Arabidopsis thaliana: one gene and its partner. The protein of the gene in region 1 interacts with the protein of each later gene in a pairwise test. Each region holds a gene or a part of one and is shown in the gene's direction. Other genes may lie near its edges. The genes, in order: SAUR19 and AT1G26660.

Evidence for each region.
Region 2: the proteins of SAUR19 (region 1) and AT1G26660 interact in a two-hybrid assay, tested with the Arabidopsis thaliana proteins (one large-scale study listed by BioGRID).

What each region holds. Positions count from the first base shown.
Region 1 is NC_003076.8:5,962,253-5,965,647, reverse strand, and holds SAUR19 (SAUR-like auxin-responsive protein family), read left to right. Parts: upstream 1-2,242; 5' UTR 2,243-2,342; coding exon 2,343-2,615; 3' UTR 2,616-2,875; downstream 2,876-3,395. UniProt on the Arabidopsis thaliana protein: Provide a mechanistic link between auxin and plasma membrane H(+)-ATPases (PM H(+)-ATPases, e.g.
Region 2 is NC_003070.9:9,209,824-9,213,749, forward strand, and holds the start of AT1G26660 (Prefoldin chaperone subunit family protein), read left to right. Parts: upstream 1-1,940; 5' UTR 1,941-2,062; intron 2,063-2,472; 5' UTR 2,473-2,474; coding exon 2,475-2,566; intron 2,567-2,681; coding exon 2,682-2,786; intron 2,787-3,017; coding exon 3,018-3,119; intron 3,120-3,396; coding exon 3,397-3,504; intron 3,505-3,658; coding exon 3,659-3,713; intron 3,714-3,870; coding exon 3,871-3,926. Other genes in the region: AT1G26650 (Son of sevenless protein), read left to right, coding at 512-1,519.

The sequences.
Region 1 (3,395 bases):
TCCCAAATCACATTGAGAGTCTCTTGTCCTTGTAAGAACATTCACCGCTCGATGCTAGTTCTTCATCATTCATTTATTAGATTTTGAGATTGTTTGATGATGTCTTTAGGTTTTCTTGTAATGATTTGTAATTATTCCTTAATCTCAAGATATTTATCCCAGCATGTTATATAACAATGTGGATAGTGCAAACTATTGTTGTAGTCTGTATAAACAGAGACTGCTCTGTTTCTAGCATTTTTCATGCGAGCCACGTTTGCTTATTCATATTCAAAAACGGACAAAATCAAGCAGAGAATCACAATCAAGAACAGAACTTGCCAGCCATTTGCTTATTACTTCTCTGGCTTTTTATCATGAGATCCAATGAGAAATGTTTTGGAGAAGCTCAAGGTTGTGAAGATGATGGTGTAGGTGGCCTTGTTCCATGGCCGTTGGTGTTGAAATATGTCTCTTTATGTCTTTGAATTTTCCTCTGTCTGACAAAGAATGGGCGTGTTTAATTTTGAAGGGTGTTACTGATGCTGGTGAGTTTGTTTATACGCCAATGAGTGTGTATGAATCCTTCCATGTGGTGTATTTTGATCCAAAGAGAAAGAGTATTAGAGTAACCAAAATTAAAGGAATTGCAAATGACCTATATAGACGACTTAAAGGGCTCAGACTCGATTCTCTCAATGATCTCGATGTTTTCCCAAATAACATTGAGAGACTCTTGTTGTTGTAAGATCATTAATGGCTCAATGCTATTAATCACTTATGCGATATTAAGCTTCTTTGATTTCCTTAGGCTTTTCTTGTCATGATTTGTGATCATTCCTATGGTTTTACTATCATAACATGTTATAGAACAATTAATGTGGATACTGGATACTGCATGCAGACTATTGCATAAGATCCGTAAAACCCGAGACTGGTCTGTTCCTAGCATTTGTCAAGTGAGCCACGTCTCCTTCTTCAAATATTAAGATCAGGACGTACGACAAAAGCAACCAGAGAAATCACAACCAAGAACCACAAGCAAATGTAGCGAACTCAAACCCTCATGAAGTCTAGTTTAGCTTATCGTTGCTCGTCTTTTGTATCCACATTCATTTATCACGTTAGCATCTGGACGACAAAACCATCTAAACTCTCTTCTTATGTGTCCACTCTTACATCCACAAGTTTCAGAAGATTTCCGAGAGGCTTTTAAATTCGCTCAGGGAGTGCTAAAAAGGGTTTCTTGTAGTATACGAAACTCTCAAAACATCAATTCTAAGATGTGAGAAAGTGAAAAAAAATTGGTTATTAAGTGAGTGTCTTTACTATGCAGGATCATATTGATATACATTTTTGGTTATATTCCAAATATAGATTTTCATAAAATAATAGTTTTACATAAAATAGGTGTTGAAACTGTCCTTTTGCTTGTAGCCTCTACAGAAAAGCCGATAATCTTCTTTGAACTCAAGAGGCCTCTGAACAAAGCCATTTCTTGAGTCTGGAAAATCTAAATTTGAAGCTTCTGAGAAAAAGTTAGATGCTCAAAATTTTGAGGTCTGGATTGCTTCACTACTTGGTGAAGAGTTGGTTCTGTCTCTGGATGTATAAATAGATTGATAAAAGACTTCAAATCACCCTGAAACCATTCAAAGTAGGGGTGAGACATACACAAAGATAGTTTCACATGGTTCTGTTTTTTAGGTATGATAGATGACAAGTTGACAACGGAAGCTAATGAGCATTATCATCACTTCACAAGGGTCTGTCTTCTCCATGTCTGTATAATAAATGAAGAGAAGAAGTGAGGTATTCAGTCTCTTTTAGTTTTCATGTGTGGATATAATCAAAGAACAACTAGAGAGTGACATTGAATTGTTGTTCTGTTGTTGAATAACATTCAGGTCCCCACTTTAACTTCTTAATAAATCCATTTCGACTGCAGAGATTAGAGTACTATAGGACAAAGAACCAACCACCTAATCATCACAGAACCTGCTGTCTTTGTTCTTGCAAATATAGGGCACGTCTTATCTCAGAAACATTGAGAAAGCAAGCCCTTGTGAAATTTCACATGGAGATTATTTAAGTAGATAAATTTCATTAATGCATCTTTTCCAGATGGTAAAGACAGAACCATGTGAACTCTTGCTCTAGTCTGTCCCACGCTTCAAGACCACAGTTTCAATGACTTTTTCAGAGAAGTTTCAAATCGTTCATTGATATTTCTATATATACACCCATAACCCCATTATTTCTATCATCAACCAACAACAAGCATTCCAATAACTTGAATCTTTTCATACATCTTCAAGAGCTTCATAATAATTCAAACTTCTTTTATTTAAAATAAAATAAAAATGGCTTTCGTGAGAAGTCTATTGGGAGCAAAGAAGATTCTAAGCCGCTCCACCGCAGCAGGATCTGCGGCACCAAAAGGGTTTCTTGCGGTGTACGTAGGAGAGAGCCAGAAGAAGAGATATTTGGTGCCGCTCTCATACTTGAGCCAACCGTCATTTCAAGCTCTGCTCAGTAAATCCGAAGAAGAGTTTGGGTTTGCTCATCCGATGGGTGGCTTAACGATCCCTTGTCCCGAAGATACTTTCATCAATGTGACTTCTCGGCTCCAATGAAGATGATCCAACATTTTTTCCTTCAGTTAGAAATAGACTTATTCATTGTAAATACATGAGCTTTTTTCTCTTTCTTCTTGAAAGAGTTGTTCTAAAAGTGTAGAAAGTGAAATACAAAATTAATGTTATATACAAACTTCATGTCAATACATTTTTGATCGCTCATTGAAAAAGAAAGACGACACCAAATTCATCAATCAAAAAACTACTCTAATTATAGTTTCATGTTGATTAAAAACAATTAAGTGGAACATCTAACATCCGGATCCGTGGCGCAATGGTAGCGCGTCTGACTCCAGATCAGAAGGTTGCGTGTTCGATTCACGTCGGGTTCAATCCCCCGAACTTTATTCCGGATATCTTTTTGTTTTACCTGCTTATTTCCAATTTTTGCCTTTTGATGCACTACCCCCGGTTCGGGATTCTTGTTACTCTAACCGAGAATTTCAGATCCGGTTTTAGTATTTGTTTGCTACTCTGAATTAGACGGAAACAAATAACAAATGACCACTTTTAACTTACACAATTTATCAGTGGCTGGCTCTTACGTATAGTGTGGGGGTTACATTTAGTTGATGTCTCCAGTGACATTTGATTATAGTTTTCAAGATATTGTCAAGCAAAAAGGAAAAGAAATTTACTTTTGAATTCCAAACTTCTGTTTGTATTTTATTCTATAAATAACATTGCTTTCTCCTTCCAAATAATAAAGACAAGTATACATTGCCCAAAAAGGAAAACTATAGAGACACGCACTAGTTAGGGTTGATGTGGACTGGA
Region 2 (3,926 bases), on another chromosome or scaffold:
CCGCTCTAACTCAACTTCATCGTACTCGTATCCTTCTTCTTGCCATTTCCCATTCACCGGAAAGATTCTCTCTTTTTTTTTTTTTTTTTTTCCATAGAAATATTCTTCTTTTTATTCCTCTAAAGAAGCCCATTAAGCTATTATTGGGCCTAACCAAATTGATCAATTTTTTCAAACCGGGTTTATGGTTTAGTGTTTTAAGGTTTCAGTTAAATTAGCGGTTTAGCTTCAAGTTCGCGATGGAGTAGAAGAAGATTACCTCCGACAAAAGCACGTTCACTTGTGCCACCGACAAAATTGGAAATCTTACATTTTTTGTTTTCTCTAATCAAAATTATTGTTGGAACGTAGACAAGATCCGTTCCAAGATTCGTCTTTTTTTTTCAATTTGATTCCTGGGTTATCTGAAAGATCTTCTCTTTGCTTCGATTTCTATCTCCGCTGCTTGTGAAATCAACCTTTATGGTATGTAATCTCGAACTCAGCTAAAACACACTTCACTCTCGGAAACATGGAGACGGAAACGAATCAGGTTTTACGGAAACCGGAGCTAAAATCATACAGTCACAAACAATTTCACTCCTCAAATGCGTTAGAGATCTTAAGAGAAACAGTTCGAATTCTCCGGTACAATCTTGGTGCTTTAATGTTAACTACTGCTGTTTTGATCTGTCCTGTCTCTGCTTTGCTCTTACCAAACTTTTTAGTTGATCAATCATTAGTGAATAAACTCACAGTGAAGCTTCTTTTAGTGGCGAAATCAAGTGGTCTTCCTTTGCAGCCTTTTGTCAAACATTCTTGTCAGAAATTCGCTGAAACTGCTGTTTCGTCTGCAATGTGTTTCCCTGTGTTTATCACTGTGTCTCTGTTGTCTAAAGCAGCTGTGGTTTACTCAGTGGATTGTTCTTACTCGAGGGAAGTAGTTGATATAAGCAAGTTCTTGGTTATATTGCAGAAGATATGGAGGAGAGTTGTGTTCACTTACGTTTGGATTTGCATTCTGATTGTTGGTTGCTTCACTTTCTTTTGCGTTCTTCTTGTAGCAATCTGCAGTTCCTTCTCTGTTCTCGGCTTCTCTCCAGATTTCAATGTTTATGGAGCTATGCTAGTTGGTTTAGCCTTCTCTGTAGTTTTCGCTAACGCGATTATAATCTGCAACACTGCGATTGTGATCTCGGTTTTGGAAGATGTTTCAGGGTTAGGAGCATTGATGAGAGCTAGTGATTTGATCAAAGGGCAGATTCAGGTTGGTTTGTTGATGTTCCTTGGATCAACTTTAGGATTGGCGTTTGTGGAAGGATTGTTTGATCACAGAGTGAAGAAAGTTAGTTATGGAGATGGCTCTTCGAGGTTATGGGAAGGACCTCTTTTGGTGTTGATGTATTCCTTTGTGACACTTATAGATTCGATGATGAGTGCAGTGTTCTATTTTAGCTGCCGAGTTTATTATAGTATGGAAGCTTCTAGAGGTGAAACTCAGCCAATCATGGAAACGGTTACGGTTGTGGATGCTGAGTAATGGTGCGTTGTGCGGATCAAACTCGGTGAATGGACATGGAAACGTATTAGCTGAAGAAGAAGTTGTATATCATCAAATGGGGTTTTATTGAGCACTTTTTGTTTCACTTTGAAACTTGATGCATCTTTAAGGTTTTTGTTATATATGGTTTCTCTGTTTACATTGTTTGAAGATTATATAGCATCCCAAGTTCGTTCATAGTTCTGCTCTTGTTTCTTTTTAGCCAGTTTGATTGAGTCTTGAAAATCTTGGGCGTAAAATAGTAAAATTAAAAAGTAGGTGGGCCTTTATGCAAGGTAATTATATTACAAAGGACTTGAAATTAAAACCAAAAGTAAGAACAAACCGGTTCGCATGGTTTAAATAATCTGTGCTCGAGCGGTCAAATTGTAAAACCACCAAATAATTCTTCGTCTCCCTCACCGTCGCGGCGTCGCCACTCGCCGTCACAACCACCGTCGTTCAACATCACTGTCACCAAAAGAATCACCGTCGTTCGGTCGTGACGTGTCTGGACCTATTTCATCTCTTTGCTCGTGACTCGTGAGTCAAATACTCTTGGACCTTTGCTGTTATCTGTACCTCTAATTTTGTGATTTTCAGATTCCTTCTCGTTTATCGAGTTGGATTCTCTGTATTTGAATGTATTTTTGATAGGGTTTCGTTTGGAAACCAATTTGATTCTCATATTTAAAGTGTAGTTACGTGGTTTGTGTTCTCTCTTGGGGATGTTCACCACCTGTTCGATGAAATGCTTCTACGTATTAGTTTGATGCAATTTCTGTATAGTTTCGACGCTCTCCGAGCTTGTATTTAGATATTGATGGTTAGGTGACTCTAGATTCTGAAACGAACATTTCAAGGCTCTAGAAACTTATTCTGGACTAAGTTTATCAAATAAACAAGGGGATGGTTAGAGCCTTAAGCTTGATATGTTTATGTTCGCATTGCAGTAATGGAGGAGGGACGTCAAAAAGACTTGCAATTGTTGGAGGAGATTATCGACAAAGGTTTGAAACAGAAGCTTGTACATGCAACTGCTTCACGGTATTTATATTTACTTCCTTTTCAGATCAAAATTAAAATTGTGAGTATGATATTAAAGTGTATGTAGGATTAGTTTAGTTTGTTTTCTTTGCATGCTATTCACTTTTTGTTTGAGGTTTCGATTCATTGTGGTCTCTGCATTTGTTGGTTTTGCAGGGACAAGATCTTTGAAGAACAAAAAACACTGTATCCTTTTGTATAGGGAAGACTCTAGCTTCTCGTGATGTGCATCATCTTGTTAAGCTGATCCTAAGTGTTTTGTTAGTTTCTCCCATGTCTTAACCCTATCAAAGATGACGGGTTCATTTACCAGTCAGTTTTTGACTTAGTTTTGTGTTTCTAAATCGAGAGGAACTCTTCTTGGTGTAGTTATTGACAATACTTTGCTGTTCTAGTGAAATCTAATTCGGTTGAAATATTCTTGTTTCCTTGACGGTTACTCCCACTCCAGCTCTGACTTGCGGAAAAACCTAGAAACTCTGGAGAAGAATGGTGTAAATAGTCTCAAAACAAGGGTCAACCTTGGTTCAGAAGTTTACATGCAAGCTGAAGTGTACGTTACTTATAGCTTTGGTTCTTTCGTTTAATTTTAGTCAAGTCATTTAGCTATGAAAGGTCATGCATTGTCTGCATACAATGAAATACACTGTCTCCATACACAGCTTAATGCAATTAAGAAGTGTGCTTTTACTGTGTTCTGTATGTTAGAAGCTAGTTATGTATTATTGAGCAGAAAACGTTTAATAAATGGGGATTAAAATAGGAGATGCTTTCTACCAGGTTTGCTTCTGATTTCGTTTCACTTGACTTGGGTGTTTGTTTGAGTTCAGGCCAGATACTCGGCACATATTCATGGATGTAGGCCTCGGCTTTTATGTGGAGTTCACACGGCAAGAAGCTCTTGACTATATAGCACAAAGGGAGGAAAGAACTCAAAAGTAAGAGAAATCTTTGCTTTTCTAGTTTTCTTGCTCCATGTACAAGGAAAATATGGTTGTATCATTGTATATGATGAATGAGTTCTCCGGTGGAATGCAGTATAGTGACTGAATGTTGATGCAATATAAATGTGGTTTTTTTTGTTTTTAACAGACAACTAGAAGAGTATACTGGTGTTATTACGCAGATCAAAGGGCGCATCAAACTGGTAAGTTCAAGTTCTTATCTTGCTTTGTGATAGTAGTCAATCATTTGTCTTATGAGGTTGAATTGGACTAGAAAATCACTATTGCGTAGGAACCCTGCATCAGACGGATATATGAAAGTGTCATCGGATAAGTATTAATGTTAAATTACCATTGCAGGCTCATTACCAGATTCAGCAAATACTCAATCTTCCTGAAGAGAATCCGTCATCCCG